2 linked regions of the Neurospora crassa OR74A genome follow. The protein of the gene in region 1 purifies or fractionates together with the protein of each later gene. This does not show direct contact. Links are inferred from orthologs where the notes say so. Each region holds a gene or a part of one and is shown on either strand. Other genes may lie near its edges. The genes, in order: NCU04606 and NCU02685.

Region 1 (7,292 bases):
AAGGAAGGGATGACATATTCATTCTGGAGCACTGCATTTAAAAGTATATAATATCATCTGTCGTCTACCTTCCCCAAGCCACTTACACAACAACAACACAAACAAATCAACACTCAAAACAACCACTCTCGCGATAATCGCAAACCACGCAATAATTACAACACACATACTAAACCTTAATACCACAACAACAACAACAACATCCAAAATGTCCCAGTCTCGCATTCTCCCCATTCTCGGCGCCGGCGTTGTCGGTCTCGGCGGCTACTACATCTACAAGTCTGGAGGCAGCCCTTCGGCCGCTGAGAAGAAGTTTGAGGGTGCGTATCATCCCATCACCTCATCACACCCTCCGTCTCTCTACTAATTTCTATCCCCAACACATTGGCGCAACGATGCTAACTATGTATCAAAACCAGCCGACCTCCACCGCGGCGCCGCCAAGATCAAGTCTGAGTTGCCCAACTCTTCGCAGACCAACGCCCGCCAGGAGGGTGCCCACTACGGCAAGGAGATCGGTGGCAAGATTGATGAGGCTGTAAGTTCTTTTCTTTTACCTTCATTCACCACCACTACTCCTCCTCCTCCTCCTCCTCCTCCTCCTTCTCCTCTCCCACACGCGAACGCAAACAAGTGCTGACAAGTGATGATGATGATACTGCGAAACAGGTCTCCCAAGCAGACAAGACCTACTCTTCAACCAAGTCGCAAGCCGAAGCCCTCGCCAAGGACACCAAGGCCGAAGCGCTCAAGAAGATTGACCAGTTCGACCGCACCGTGGAGCAGAAGGCTGCCGAGGCCAAAGCTGGAGTTTCCAGCTGGTTTGGTAGCGGCAACTCCAAGTAAATTGGCGGCGATCCCCAAATAAACACCGAAACTAATAACGACGGCAAGTTCGACGGACGAAGGGAAAGCATGTCAGGCGTTTGTTTATGATTGATAATGATGAAAAGGTTAATGATATCATGAGTTTGGGGGGGAGGAGGTTAGGGTTTGCTACGTTACGCACGCTAAAGCTAATGCATCATCCATGAATGATTCGGGAGTTCTAGGACTTGTTAGGACATTTGAAAGGACTTTATGGAACAAGTTAATTCGAACAATTGCGAACCATCAAAACAAAGAAACATAACAGCCCCGATCGTGATTGAATCAGATGAAATTTGCGCTGCTCTAACGAGTCTGTTTGTCTTTTTTACCCAAACCCAGGGCTGATCATGCCTCAACACCACATTAGCATCACAAATAGTCCGTCTACATAGTAAACAACCCCCCTCAAGACAACGTCTCTGCCACCAACTTCAACACCTCGTCCGTCTTCTTTCCCGCATTTTTCGGATCCTTCGCCACCCTCGTCCACTCCTCTCCATGCCTAGGATCCACCAACACGCACTTGGCCACCAAATCCGCCCTCTTCTCCTCCGTCCCATGCTGCACCAAAAACTTGTAATACCACGCCCACGTATCGCCCACATCGCGATCCAGCAACAGCGCCTTCTCGAACCAGTTCTGCGCCCGGTCCAGCTTCCTTTCCGCCCACAGAATTCTCGCGGCCGTGACCAGCAGGATCGGATCGTCTTCCACCTTTTTCACCGCCTCGGCAAGCAGCGATTTCCGCTGCGTGCGCGGCTCGAGGTTGAGGATCCTTTCCGCCCACAGCAAGCCCGATTTGGGCATCTGCTGTAACGCTTGCGCCATGAGCGACTTGGCCTGGTTCAAGTTGCCCGCGCGCCGCTCGACGCGGATGAGTTCCGTCCATAGCTCCGGGGACTTGGGCACGGCTTGTCGGGCGCGGTCGAGGACCGAGCGCGCCTTGACGACATTGTTGGCCTTTTCTTCTAAACGAGAGTACAGAAGCCAGAGCGGGATGGACGAAGGGACGGCGCGCACGCCGGTGCTGTAGGCTTCCCGCGCAGGACCAAGTTGGCCGAGGTCTTCGTAGATTTGGCCCTTCATCATCCAGAGTTTGGGCTTGGAAGGGAAGAGCTGTAGGGCCTGTTGGACGAGATCCAAAGCGGCCTCGTTGACGCCTTGTTGACGCTCAAACGCCACGGAGCGCATCCACACGCGATCGGTGGGCGCATTCTGGCGCGCGGTCTTGAGGAGTTCGCGGGCTTTGTCGATGAAACCGTTGTCGGCTTCGAGCTTGACGGCCGCCAGCCAGATGTCCTCGCTGTCCGGGTTCTGCTTGAAGGCGCGGGCAAGGACGAGGCGTGCCTCGTCGACGCCCGCCTCGGCGGCTTTCTCGCGCGCGAGCATGAGCCAGAAGACTTCGTAGTGCGGACAGGCCTCGACGGCCTTTTCGAGCGCGTGCCAGAGGTCTTCCTTGCTGCCGTGGTTGCGCTCCAGGTCGATGGCGGCCGTGTAGAGCGATTTGCTGTTGGGGAAGACGCGGATGGCGTAGGCGTAGATGGCGCGCGCTGTGGCGAACTTGTCCCGGTTGATGGAGGCGCGCGCGTCTTCCATCCAGAGCTCCTTGCGGTCATCGTCCTCGTCGAGACCCCAGCCAAGCGTCTCTTCGATGATGTTGCTGCAAGTGATGACGGCGCCTTCCTCTTCGCACTTTTCTGCTTCGGCGATCCATTCCTCGCGCTTGGGCATGGCGTTCTGCTTGGCGAGGAACTTGACGGCGTTCTTCATCACGGGCCGCTTCTTGCCTTCGCCTAGTTGTTCTTCCAGGCGAGCGGCGGCGATCCAGAGTTCGTGCGAGTTGGGAAGCTTCTTGACGGCCTTGTTGAGAACCTTGCGGGCGTTTTCGGGAGTCTCGAGACGGGCCAGTGCCAACCAGAGGTCGAGCGACTCCGGGATAAGCTCCGTCGCCTTGGCTAGTAGAATGCGGGCGTCTTCGACGTCCTCCTCGAGGTTGACAGCCTCCTTCCATAGCGCCTCGGACTCTTGGTTATGATCGAGAGCTCTCCGGATAACCTTCTTCTTTGATCTAGGGTCGTTTTCCAGCTTCATCGCTTCCACCCAAAGCTTGACCGAGTGTGGGTTGGCTTGAATAGCCTGTGCCGCAATGACCTTGGCGTTCCGGTTGTCGTTCAAATGAATGTTTTCCAGCCAAATATCCTCGCTCTTCGGGCAGTGTTCGCAGCCCTTGGCAATCAAGCTGCGGGCAGCACCAGGCTTTCCCGCCGCGATTTCCAATCTCGCTGCAGCAATCCAACTGGCTGCCTGTTTGGGGTTCGAGTCGACAGCCGACTTGAGCATCTTCCTGAACTGCTCAATGTCTCCAATGCTTTGTTCCGCACCCTGCATGCTCGACAGCGATGTCAGGTAGCCCTTGGGGTCGATACTCGTCGCGCTTCCCGCCGTGGCCACGCTACTCGACTGTGATTGCTGTTCCAAGCGCGCCCTCAGCACCTTGTCGCGAGCCGCACCGATCTTTGCGAAATCTGTAACTGTGCCATCCTTGTTGACCCCTTCGGTGGCGGTGCCGTCTTCTGCAACGGTGGTACCGAACTGGCCGGAATCTCGCGCGGCAGCGAGGACACTGTCGGGAACGGCGTAGAAGCGCTCCATGCGAGCCTGGCGTGCCCTCTTGGTCCTGCCGGTAAGGTCCTTGGGATCTGGTAGGTTTGCCCATTCTTCGTCGGTGACCGTCTCGAGCGCTCGTTTGAGGCCGGCGAATTGCTGTTGGATTTTGGGGTTCTTTCGTTCGTACTCTAATCGTTCGGCTTCTTCTCGTGCTTCCCTGTGAAAATGCGATTTCTTGTCGGTACTCTGCTTTTCATCTATCTTGACCGATAAACCACATGCTTGCTTGAAAGTGTTGGGGAAGGGGTAGAAGGGTGTTTTGTGAATTTATGTAGGATGTCAAGTGATGTATACGAGGTAATGACTAACCTTTGCTTCTGTCGCCGCTTCGCCATCCTGTCGTCTACCTCTTTCCATATCCGATCTGCCTCCTCGTCGTCCTTCTCGTATATGCCGCCGGCGAACAAGCCGACTTCGTTGTCGGGATCCTGATAGCGGCCATCGTCTTCATTGTCGTCGTCCTTGGCCTCGGTCAGACCTAGCTGTGCAGATCTCTTCGCGACGGCCGCCTTGATCTGGTCTTCACTAGGACCCTCGCGCGCGGGACCAAGATCGGATCGTGTAGTGAAACCCGTGGCACCACGACCGAGACCGGCGACGTAGTTCTCGGGTGCGGGTTGACTGAGGAAATCCCGTCTAGACATGGTGGCGGTTTTCTGTATTCGTGATGTATTGTAGAGACGCGGTGGCTAGGATTGTGACCGTGGTGGCCGTAGAGGTAGCTCCAAACATTTGAGTTAGCGGCAAAATACCGGCAGGCTGCAAGTCGAAGTGGAAGTCGAACTCCAGGGCACTGAAGCCTGCCTGCCACTGGTCCAGGCGCTCTTGGCATTTGACGAACGAATGGCAGGCACAGTGCCAAGTAAACAGTCTACGACTCCACCAGTGCTTGGCGGCTTAATTCCACTTTCGTTGTTTACTTCCTCCTATCATTCATCTACCTCCTTTCCCGTCTTCACCATCACCAGTCAGCGGAGCCATGATGGCCATAGAAGACAACTATGACGATATTTCAGCGCTCCTGCCGTCGGCAACTGAAATGGCCTGGCTCAGTGAGGCGTGAAGTGGGACAACTTCACCCAGATGCTCGTCTGCTCTTCGTGTTGCAGCATCACTAAGGGAAATGCATTATTCATCTATGGCAATGCCTGCGATCAGCCTAGCCAACAATGTCCAACTTCAACCTCCCATTTAAATTCTTTCTGTGCAGGTGCGGCAACTACAGCATTTATGCCTCGCACCATTCAACCTTCACGGTCAGGTTAACCGCAAAGGCGGCACCATGCAAGGCGAATATACTCCCTCACCGAGACTTCGTAACACAGGTTTTCCTGTTTACAATAAACATGCTGTACAACGGCACACGATGACTGAGCCTATGCCTTTTTATTCTGCAATGAATTTAGGCTGGGTTTAGCTCCTTGCCGGCCGTCTACCTAGGTATATTTATTCAGTACCACGTCCCTGATTGAGTATACAGCGGGATCCGAGTTCGCACAACTTGAACGTCTGTACACAAGGTGCTTCCAATCTGCATACACTGTCTCAAAGCACTCATGGCGACTGAAGGAAAGCTACTCCAGCGCCGCCCACTCGAACCACCAATGTGCAATTTCGAGACCCTCCTGTTGACTAAATCTCATAAGTATGGGCATCTAGCTCGCTTCTTCACCCTTTACTACCACTCACATATTCGGTCCAGACCTTCTTGCTCGTCCATCACAGGAGAGCTTGATGTGATAGTCATGGAGCCGCTGATCAAAAACCCGATGTCTTCTCATATCAAACACTCATCAAATGACTCCGCAGGTAAGATCTCTTGGAAACCAGGCGGCTTCAGACGTTTTCCCTGGTTTGGGATAATTCCGCTGATCTTTTGTATAAGCTGTGAGTACTCGTTCCTACGTTCACCACAACACTGAGGCTGTGACCAAGTACCGACAATGCTAACTGCAAGGACTAGGTACAGGAATTGCTATAGGAGTCGTTCTCGAGAGCGATGGTGGTTCGGAAAAGAACTGGTCCGGGCTCAGACAACCCGGTGTTTTGTTGGCGTACACATCGACTCTTGCAAACGCGTTGATGGGGCTTGCCTTTGCCCAAGCGGCCGTGATATTCTTCTGGGTCCAAGCAACAACGCCGCTACCAGTTGAGTTCCGGCATCTCTCGGCTGTCAGTCAGTATGATATATCAATTGACACGATATACAGATTAGCAGCCTCCACCATAACTGGGCCGGATCTTCAAGCACCATGGGCGCAGTCAAGTCCATCTTCCAGGGAAAGGCGATTCGCGTCAGTTTAGGTTAGAATTTCAATACTCCCCTGCCCCGGTCTTTACCACATCAGAGATATTATGGCATCATCACTTACGTTTGTACAGTATCTATCCTCGTCACAGTCACGGCCCTCCTTCGCGGTCCTCTGATGCAACGAGCCTCGTATGTTCAAGTGGTCGATGTATGGCAGAACAATACCATTGATCTTCCAGTCACTTTGAATATCAGCAGCCTTTGGGGCAGAAAGTTTGGCAAGTTAAATGTGGAGTATACGCGGCCCATTGGGCAATTCGCTCCTGGATTCTCAGATGTGGTCCGCGACCTTCTAAACAAAGCGCCCATTCGGATGAGAGGGGTATATTGTGAGAACTGCACCTTAACTATCGTGGTGAGATATATTCTAGGCCCAATACTCCAATCATCATAGTGCCATCTTGAGCTGTCGTTTCGCTGGCCACGACTAACTTGAGATCATTGGTTCAGGCATTCGGCTTCGATGTTATCAACTGTACAGAACTAAGAAACAGCTCGGATACATATGATCTCGATTTCAAGGCGATCGAACCACTGAGAGAACATAATGAATTTAGGAAAAACATCATATTTGAGACCTCCGTAAGGCCAGTTATGGACGACGATCTTATTCATCACCCCGATGCCATCTCTTCAAACAGGTCAATGATCCAAATCACCACAAGACGAAAAACTGATACTGGATGCGCCGGTCTGTTTCTTAATCATACATGCAATCTTAAGCCTGGGGCAGTACAATACAATGTGAGTCTTCAGGGAGACATTGCGACTTTGCAGTCAAAGAGCTGGAAAGGTGACAAATTTGTAAAGCCTATGTAAGTTGTCAAAATGCTAGATTTGAGCCTTATCCCATACTTCTTTGTCGAACTAAACCAACACCTCCAAGTTATGCGTATATGCAGGACCTACACTATCCAACGGAGAACACCGTGCTTCCCCTTTGGCAACTAGGAACCTCACTCTTCAGCTCCACCTCTTGGATGCAGTATGCCTTCATACACGATTATTCAATGAACTACGAAGGTCTTATTGCCAACCTGTACGCTGCGAACTGGACCGCCAATGAAGATGGCCTGCCATGCTATCAATACTTCAACGATCCCATGAATTATATCATCGACACTTACCGCGAAATAGCCTTTCGCATGTCTGTTCGTGCCGCTGCCGGTCCTTCCTACGACTATCTTGCAGGCCAAAGTAGCAGCGTACAACAACTACCCGATCTTATGCAAAAAGGCATTCCATATACACTCCACTCCACCCAAGTACAATATGCCGCTGATCGTCCAGCCCTGGTTCTCGCAGTCATAGTCAGCCTTGTCGGACCAATGGCCATCCTGTTCCTTTTCTGGGGCTGGTGGAAGCTGGGAAGAGATTTCTCCATGAGTCCTTTGGAGTTTTCCAATGCAATTCTCCAGCAACAACAAGAGAGGCGCACATCCAG
Region 2 (7,344 bases), on another chromosome or scaffold:
TTGCATTTGTGATTTTCAGCGATTTCTGCCCTTCGACAAGCCATATGTCAGATTCCTCGCCCACCTCATCATCATCGCCATCATTATCATCATCATTACCCTCCTCCTCTCCGCAAGCCGCTTTAACCGGCTGCTGTCGTTGCTGCTGCTGCTGCTGCTGCAACCCACGTCCCAACAACCGATCAGCCTCGCCTAGCATGCGAATTGCTCCCTCCAGCGCTATCTGCCCTTTCTCAATTTTCTCCACTACCACCTCAAAAGTTGCGATCTTGGCCGAGTCGGCAGCTGATACCCACGGGTTGACTAGACGCGATGACATCATGGCGTTGGGGTCATCGTCCTGTTTCTTCTTCTGCACTACTACTGCCGTGGCGTGGGCGGGTATCAACTGGCTTTCTTCCACCAGGTGATCCAGCACCTGGGCGTTTTCCCTCAGCTGCTTGGTGAGGAGGGTGGTTACGTGGGCCTTGTGAGCCATGAGGCCTTTATGTTCGTGAGAGAGGGTGAGGAGGCGGGTGAGGGTTGGGGTGAGAAGGTGGTCTATTATGGGAGCGGGTGTAGACGCCTCTGCTGCTGCCGCTGCTGCTACTGCTTGTGTTGAAGATCGCTCAGGAGATGCCGCTGAAGGAGAGGAGGAAAAGGCAGTGATGGCGGGGAAATCAAGGGACGGTAGGGAGCGAAGTTGGGTGGTGACCAGCTCTAGGAGAGCTTTTCGCATGGAGAGATACTCGGCGTATTTTTCTTTGATGCTGGTGAGTTGTTGCTTAAGGAGTTGGGTTTTGTGTGCGAGCTGTTGGTCCCGTTGGACTTGGAAGTCATCTTGTCCAGCCCTTTCTCCTCCTCCGTCTTTTTCCTCTCCGGATGCTTTCCCTAGCTCGGTCTCGACCCAGTTGATCAGCTCAGTACGAGTGGCATTTAATGCTTGAAGCTTTGCTTCTGGGTTGATTTCATCCGGCTGCACGGTGAAGGGGTGGGATTTCGCGTTCTCGAGGAGGGTCTCTTCCTGTTTAAGTGACAGTTTCGTTTGGAAGGTACGGTGTTCGAGTGTCTTTACAAGGTCCTCGAGCCGGACACTGCTAGATGCGGTGATGTTCTCCGACGTTTCCTCGAGCGCTAGAGAGTTGATAATCTCGGTTGGAACCTCAGGTAGCGGTCTGCAAACTCTGAAAAGTTTCTGGTGGTCTAGGAAATCCGGTGATGCCGCCGGCTTCTGCCTCAAGAGGTCAAGGTTTTTCTTGACCACTAACAGTTTCTCTTGCTTCTTTTGTATTTTGAGGTTGGTAAGATGGTTGAGAAGGTAGTTAGACTGTATTTCTGTTGGTTGAGGGACAGAAACCTCATGATGACTGCGCTTTTGTGAGAGTGTGTGGTATTCTTTGCGGGCTTTGATGTTCGCGCGCAATGCTTCGAGGAATTCCCTATACAGACCTCTAGTATCTTGTGAGTAGGAGGGTACTTCACTTGACTCGGTGAGAGACAACGGTTCTGTCAGCGTTGCTCCGTCTTTCAAGCCCGAACTGAGGTGAAGTGTCAAGATCCGTCTGATATGGGCGGCTTCCTCGCGAGGCCTGGTGTATGGTTGCAGCACCTTCTGAACAGCTTCTAGCGTTTCTCGAAAGGAATCCATCGTGTAGATAATTCCAACTTGACCTGTCTATCAGTATTGGCTTCTTTTCATATCAAGGCATAAAACAGCTTATTGGTCAAATTGTGAATGACTGTGATCATCGATGAGCTCAGCCCGATGTGAGCAGGACGGACATAAGAGAGCGTGGTATGAACCAGAGGTATCTCAGTTTCCAGCATTCAAATGATTGTTCAAATAGCTCGTGAAGTAATACGATTCGTCCCTCTTGGTGGTATGAAAAAGAGGTATCGTAGAAGTCGGAGCCCATGGATCAGACTTCTGCCACCTATCTCGAGTTGCTCGATGGGTTGAGATCGTGTTGATGATTGTGCCTACCACCTTTAGGATGTTTGTTAGTGCACCTTGACCAACCTCTACACACCCCACGGGGTCTCCGCCTATGCACTAACACCGCCCTGACAGCAAGGTCAAGCTCCAGCTGTTCAGTGTGTTTACGTGCTGTCCAGGCAGCCAATGAGAGTCGACGACGGCAGCATTGCATAAAAATTTCCAGCCGTCATGACTGGAGCCACACCTATCTCTGCACCGCTTGCCACCCCTACCAAGCCAAGTAAGTTCCTGCTGGCTGGCAAGAACCACGCCTCTGGCTCAACCTTTCCAAACTGAACGCCAAACTCCAACCTTCCTTTCGCGACAACCGCGACAGACTTCTGTCGGAAACCCATCATCTCTGTTTCCGCCCGACCCCAGATTCTTGATCTACCCATCGATGCGACCGGCGAAATACTACTTATCAGCCAGCAAAACCAACGCTTGGTTCGGGCCGGGCTCGGGCTAATTTATCGCCACTGCGTGCACGCAAGAACAAGCACATTTTATCCCCAAAGGCCGAGTTGAAGATATCACCAGATCGAGACTCTTCCATCCGCTACGACCTCTACTTCGATCTTGACGTATACCTCAAAACATTTCATAGATTTCTTTTTTTCTTCTCCGAGCTGGCAAGATGACGGACCACCACCGCGATGTGTCGCAATATAAATACTCGGCCATGTCCAACCTGGTTCTCCAGGCGGACCGTCGTTTCGTCACGAGGCGTACCGATGAGGCCACGGGAGACCCCGAGTCCCTAGCCGGGCGTCTGTCCATCAAAGATATGGGCTCCAGAGTCGCTCGCGACTCAGCACCAAAGCCCAAGAAGGCGGGCGCCATGCCCGACGTCGAGCGGGGCAGTCTAAGGGAAGGTGCTGATATCCTGCAACGAGAGAAGAAGAAGGGCAAACTCGAGTCCGCTACAAGAGGTGGAGGTATTCTTACTGGCGCCGACGCGCTTATCGAAGGTCTCCGCTACCGCCCTCGAACGCAGCCGACGCGCGATGCCTTCAACCTTATCCTCACCATTGTCGCCGAACACTTGGGCGACGTGCCCCATGAGGTCGTTCGCAGTGCTGCTGACGCGGTTCTCGAATATCTCAAGGATGACGACCTGAAGGATTTTGACAAGAAGAAGGAGGTTGATGATATTCTTGGAGTCTCGATGGGGCCCAAGCAGTTCAACGAGCTCATAAATCTCGGCAAAAAGATCACGGATTACGACGCTCAAGATGAAGACGAGGATGCGGGCGATGCTAGGCAAGAAGGCGACGACGAGATTGACGGTCGCCAGGGTGTTGCGGTCAACTTCGAGAACGATGAAGATGATGATGGCATGGTTGATGTTGTTCGGGACGAATCTTCCGATGAGGAGGATTTTGCGGAGGATGAAGAGCTGCCTGACAGCAACGAGGTGGTCGATGGTGAAGGAGGTCAGGAGGAGGTGGTCGAAGATATTCTGAACGGCGAGGCCATGGTCATCGATTCAGCACCGGAAGGGAAGAAAAGCGGGTCTGACGACAATTCCATACCCGCCAGAGATATCGATGCGTTCTGGTTACAACGCCAGATTGGCCGGCTATATCCCGACGCACATATCCAGCATGATAAGACAATGTCTGCGCTCAAGACTCTTTCCGGCGAGCCCGATGAGCCAGGTGGTGAAGAAAAGCAGCTCCGCGACATCGAAAACGACTTGATGGAGCTTTTTGATTACGAACACCACGAGCTTGTGCAAAAACTCATTGCTAACCGGGAGAAGGTCGTATGGCTTACTCGGCTGGCCAGAGCTGAGAATGAGGAGGAGAGAAATACGATCAAGCGGGAGATGGCTTCTGAGGGTCTGCGTTGGATTCTGGACGAGCTGGAAGGCAAGACCGACGGCGGCCAGAAGAAGATCAAGATGGACATCAAGATGGACATTGACTCGGGGGCCTTTGCTGATAAGGAAGGCCAAAAGCCTGAGCGTCCCGAGGGACAGCTAGTCGGAGGTCTGCAGCCACGCAAGTTAATAAACCTGGAGAACCTCATATTCGATCAGGGTAACCACCTTATGACCAATCCCAAAGTACGACTTCCCGAGGGCTCGACAAAGCGCACCTTCAAGGGCTATGAAGAAATCCATGTGCCCCCACCAAAGAAGCGCAACGACCCCAGCGACGCCCATGTCCCGATTTCTGAAATGCCTGAGTGGGCTCAGATACCTTTCAGCACGGCCAAATCGTTAAACAAGATTCAGTCAAAGTGCTATCCTACTGCCTTTGGTGATGATGGAAACATGCTTGTCTGTGCTCCGACGGGCTCTGGCAAGACCAACGTGGCGATGCTCACCATCCTTCGTGAGATCGGGAAGCATAGAAACGAAGCCGGCGAGATCGACCTGGACGCCTTCAAGATCGTCTATATCGCGCCCTTGAAAGCCCTTGTTCAAGAACAGGTCGGCAACTTCGGAAAGCGTCTCGAACCATTCGGTATCAGGGTGGCCGAACTCACTGGCGATCGGCAACTTACTAAGCAACAGATCTCGGAAACGCAGATTATCGTTACGACCCCCGAAAAATGGGATGTCATCACGAGAAAGGCTACTGATCTCTCCTACACCAACCTGGTCCGCCTGATTATTATTGACGAGATCCATCTCCTTCACGATGACCGTGGTCCTGTGCTTGAAAGCATTGTCGCCAGAACCATCCGCAAGACAGAGCAGACCGGTGAGCCTGTTCGCATTGTGGGCTTGTCTGCCACTCTGCCCAACTACCGCGACGTAGCGAGCTTCCTGCGTGTGGATACGAACACCGGGCTCTTCCACTTCGATGGTACCTTCCGCCCTTGCCCCCTCCGTCAAGAGTTTATCGGCGTCACGGACAGAAAGGCCATCAAGCAGTTAAAGACCATGAATGATATCACCTACCAAAAGGTCTTGGAGCACGTAGGACAGAATCGCAATCAGATGCTCATCTTTGTCCATTCCAGAAAGGAAACGGCAAAGACCGCCAGGTACATCAGGGACAAGGCTTTGGAAATGGACACCATCAACCAGATCTTGAAGCACGACGCCGGAACCCGTGAAGTCCTGAGCGAAGCCTCCAACTCTGTCAACAACACCGATCTGAAGGATATCTTGCCCTATGGCTTCGGTATCCATCATGCTGGTATGAGTCGTGCTGATCGTACCGACGTCGAAGATTTGTTTGCCAGTGGCCATATCCAGGTTCTTGTGTGCACAGCCACTCTTGCTTGGGGTGTCAACCTTCCAGCCCATACCGTCATCATCAAGGGCACGCAAGTGTACTCGCCTGAAAAAGGTAGCTGGGTTGAGCTCAGTCCTCAGGATGTGCTGCAGATGCTTGGTCGTGCCGGTCGTCCTCAGTTCGACACCTATGGTGAAGGTATCATCATCACCACCCAGGGAGAGATGCAGTACTACCTTTCGCTCCTTAACCAGCAGTTACCCATTGAAAGTCAATTTGCTAGCAAGTTGGTTGATAACCTCAATGCTGAAATCGTGCTGGGCAATGTCAGAAGCCGTGACGAAGGTGTAGAGTGGCTTGGCTATACCTACCTCTTTGTTCGTATGCTTCGCTCTCCTGGTCTTTACCAAGTTGGGGCAGAGTACGAGGATGATGAAGCTTTGGAGCAAAAACGTGTCGACCTAATACATTCCGCTGCTACTGTGCTGAAAAAGTCAAATCTAATCAAGTATGACGAGAAGACCGGAAAGCTTCAGTCCACTGAACTTGGCCGCATCGCCTCGCACTACTACATCAGCTATGGTTCGATGGATACCTACAACAAGTTGATTCAACCCTCTATCACCGATGTCGAACTCTTCCGAGTATTCGCTCAGAGCGCCGAATTCAAGTACATTCCTGTTCGGCAAGAAGAAAAGCTGGAATTGGCCAAGCTCCTGGCAAAGGTACCCATTCCGGTCAAGGAGAGCATTGAGGAGCCTACCGCAAAGATCAACGTGTTGTTACAGGCGTTCATCTCTCGTCTGAAGCTGGAGGGTCTCGCCCTCATGGCTGACATGGTCTACGTTACGCAATCTGCTGGTCGTATTCTTCGGGCTATCTTTGAAATCACGATGAAGAAGGGATGGGCATCAGTTGCTAAGCTGGCCCTGAACCTGTGCAAGATGGCCGAGAAGAGGATGTGGCCAACCATGTCGCCGCTGAGACAGTTCCCCAACTGTCCTGTTGAGATTATCAGGAAGGCTGAAAGGATCGACGTGCCCTTTTCCAGCTACTTCGATCTGGACCCTCCTCGGATGGGCGAGCTTCTCGGACTACCCAAGGCGGGCAAGACTGTTTGCAGCCTGGTGGCCAAGTTCCCCCGCGTCGAGGTCCAAGCCCAGGTGCAGCCCATGACAAGGTCGATGCTGCGCATTGAGCTTGCGATCACGCCAAACTTCGAATGGGATGCCGATATCCATGGGCTTTCCGAGAGCTTTTGGATTATCGTAGAAGATTGCGATGGGGAAGACATTCTTTTCCATGATCAGTTCATCCTGCGCAAGGACTATGCGGAGTCCGAGTCCAACGAACACATTGTTGAATTCACTGTACCCATTACTGAGCCCATGCCCCCCAACTATTTTATCTCCGTCATTTCCGACAGGTGGATGCATTCCGAGACACGTCTGCCCGTGTCGTTCAGGAAACTCATTCTCCCAGAGAGATTCCCTCCTCACACCGAACTGCTTGACCTGCAACCACTACCGGTCAATGCCTTGAAGGCCAAGGACTATTCCGCGCTGTATCCTGATTGGCAACAATTCAACAAGGTGCAAACACAGACTTTCAAGTCCCTGTACGAGACTGACAACAACGTCCTCATCTGCTCACCAACGGGCAGTGGCAAGACTGTTTGTGCCGAGTTTGCCTTGCTGCGCCACTGGGCTAAGAAGGAACACGGCCGGGCCGTCTACATTGCACCTTTCCAGGAACTCGTAGATCTGCGATTCCAGGACTGGCAGAAGCGGTTTGCTAACCTCCGCGGCGGCAAGGACATTGTGAAGCTTACAGGAGAGACGACCACTGACCTTAGGCTCCTGGAGCAAGGCGACCTCATCATGGCCACACCGCTGCAGTGGGATGTCCTGTCGCGGCAGTGGAAGAGGAGGAAGAACGTTCAGACGGTAGAGCTTTTCATCGCTGACGAGCTGCACTTACTTGGTGGCCAGATGGGCTACGTCTACGAGATCATCGTCTCGCGGATGCACTATATCAGGACCCAAACGGAGTTGCCACTAAGGATTGTCGGCCTCAGTGTGTCTCTTGCCAACGCTCGTGATGTTGGCGAATGGATCGACGCGAAAAAGCACGACATTTACAACTTCAGCCCGCATGTGCGACCTATTCCATTGGAATTGCACATTCAGTCAT

The links.
Region 2: the proteins of NCU04606 (region 1) and NCU02685 purify together in Saccharomyces cerevisiae (affinity purification with mass spectrometry; 9 studies listed by BioGRID, with this or other methods). This does not show direct contact. The link is inferred for Neurospora crassa OR74A from reciprocal best matches to the Saccharomyces cerevisiae genes PRP6 and BRR2.

Annotation. Positions count from the first base shown.
Region 1 is NC_026505.1:1,526,249-1,533,540, reverse strand, and holds NCU04606 (pre-mRNA splicing factor), read right to left. Parts: upstream 4,275-7,292; 5' UTR 4,182-4,274; coding exon 3,847-4,181; intron 3,735-3,846; exon of another isoform or gene 3,695-3,734; coding exon 1,276-3,694; 3' UTR 1,142-1,275; downstream 1-1,141. Other genes in the region: NCU04605 (hypothetical protein), read left to right, coding at 209-320, 420-538, 670-846; NCU04607 (hypothetical protein), read left to right, coding at 5,790-5,841, 5,920-5,977, 6,406-6,663, 6,735-7,292. UniProt on the Saccharomyces cerevisiae protein: Participates in pre-mRNA splicing. Part of the U4/U5/U6 tri-snRNP complex, one of the building blocks of the spliceosome.
Region 2 is NC_026501.1:3,196,435-3,203,778, reverse strand, and holds the start of NCU02685 (pre-mRNA splicing helicase), read left to right. Parts: upstream 1-2,480; 5' UTR 2,481-2,594; coding exon 2,595-7,344. Other genes in the region: NCU02686 (hypothetical protein), read right to left, coding at 1-1,003, 1,055-1,314, 1,429-1,627.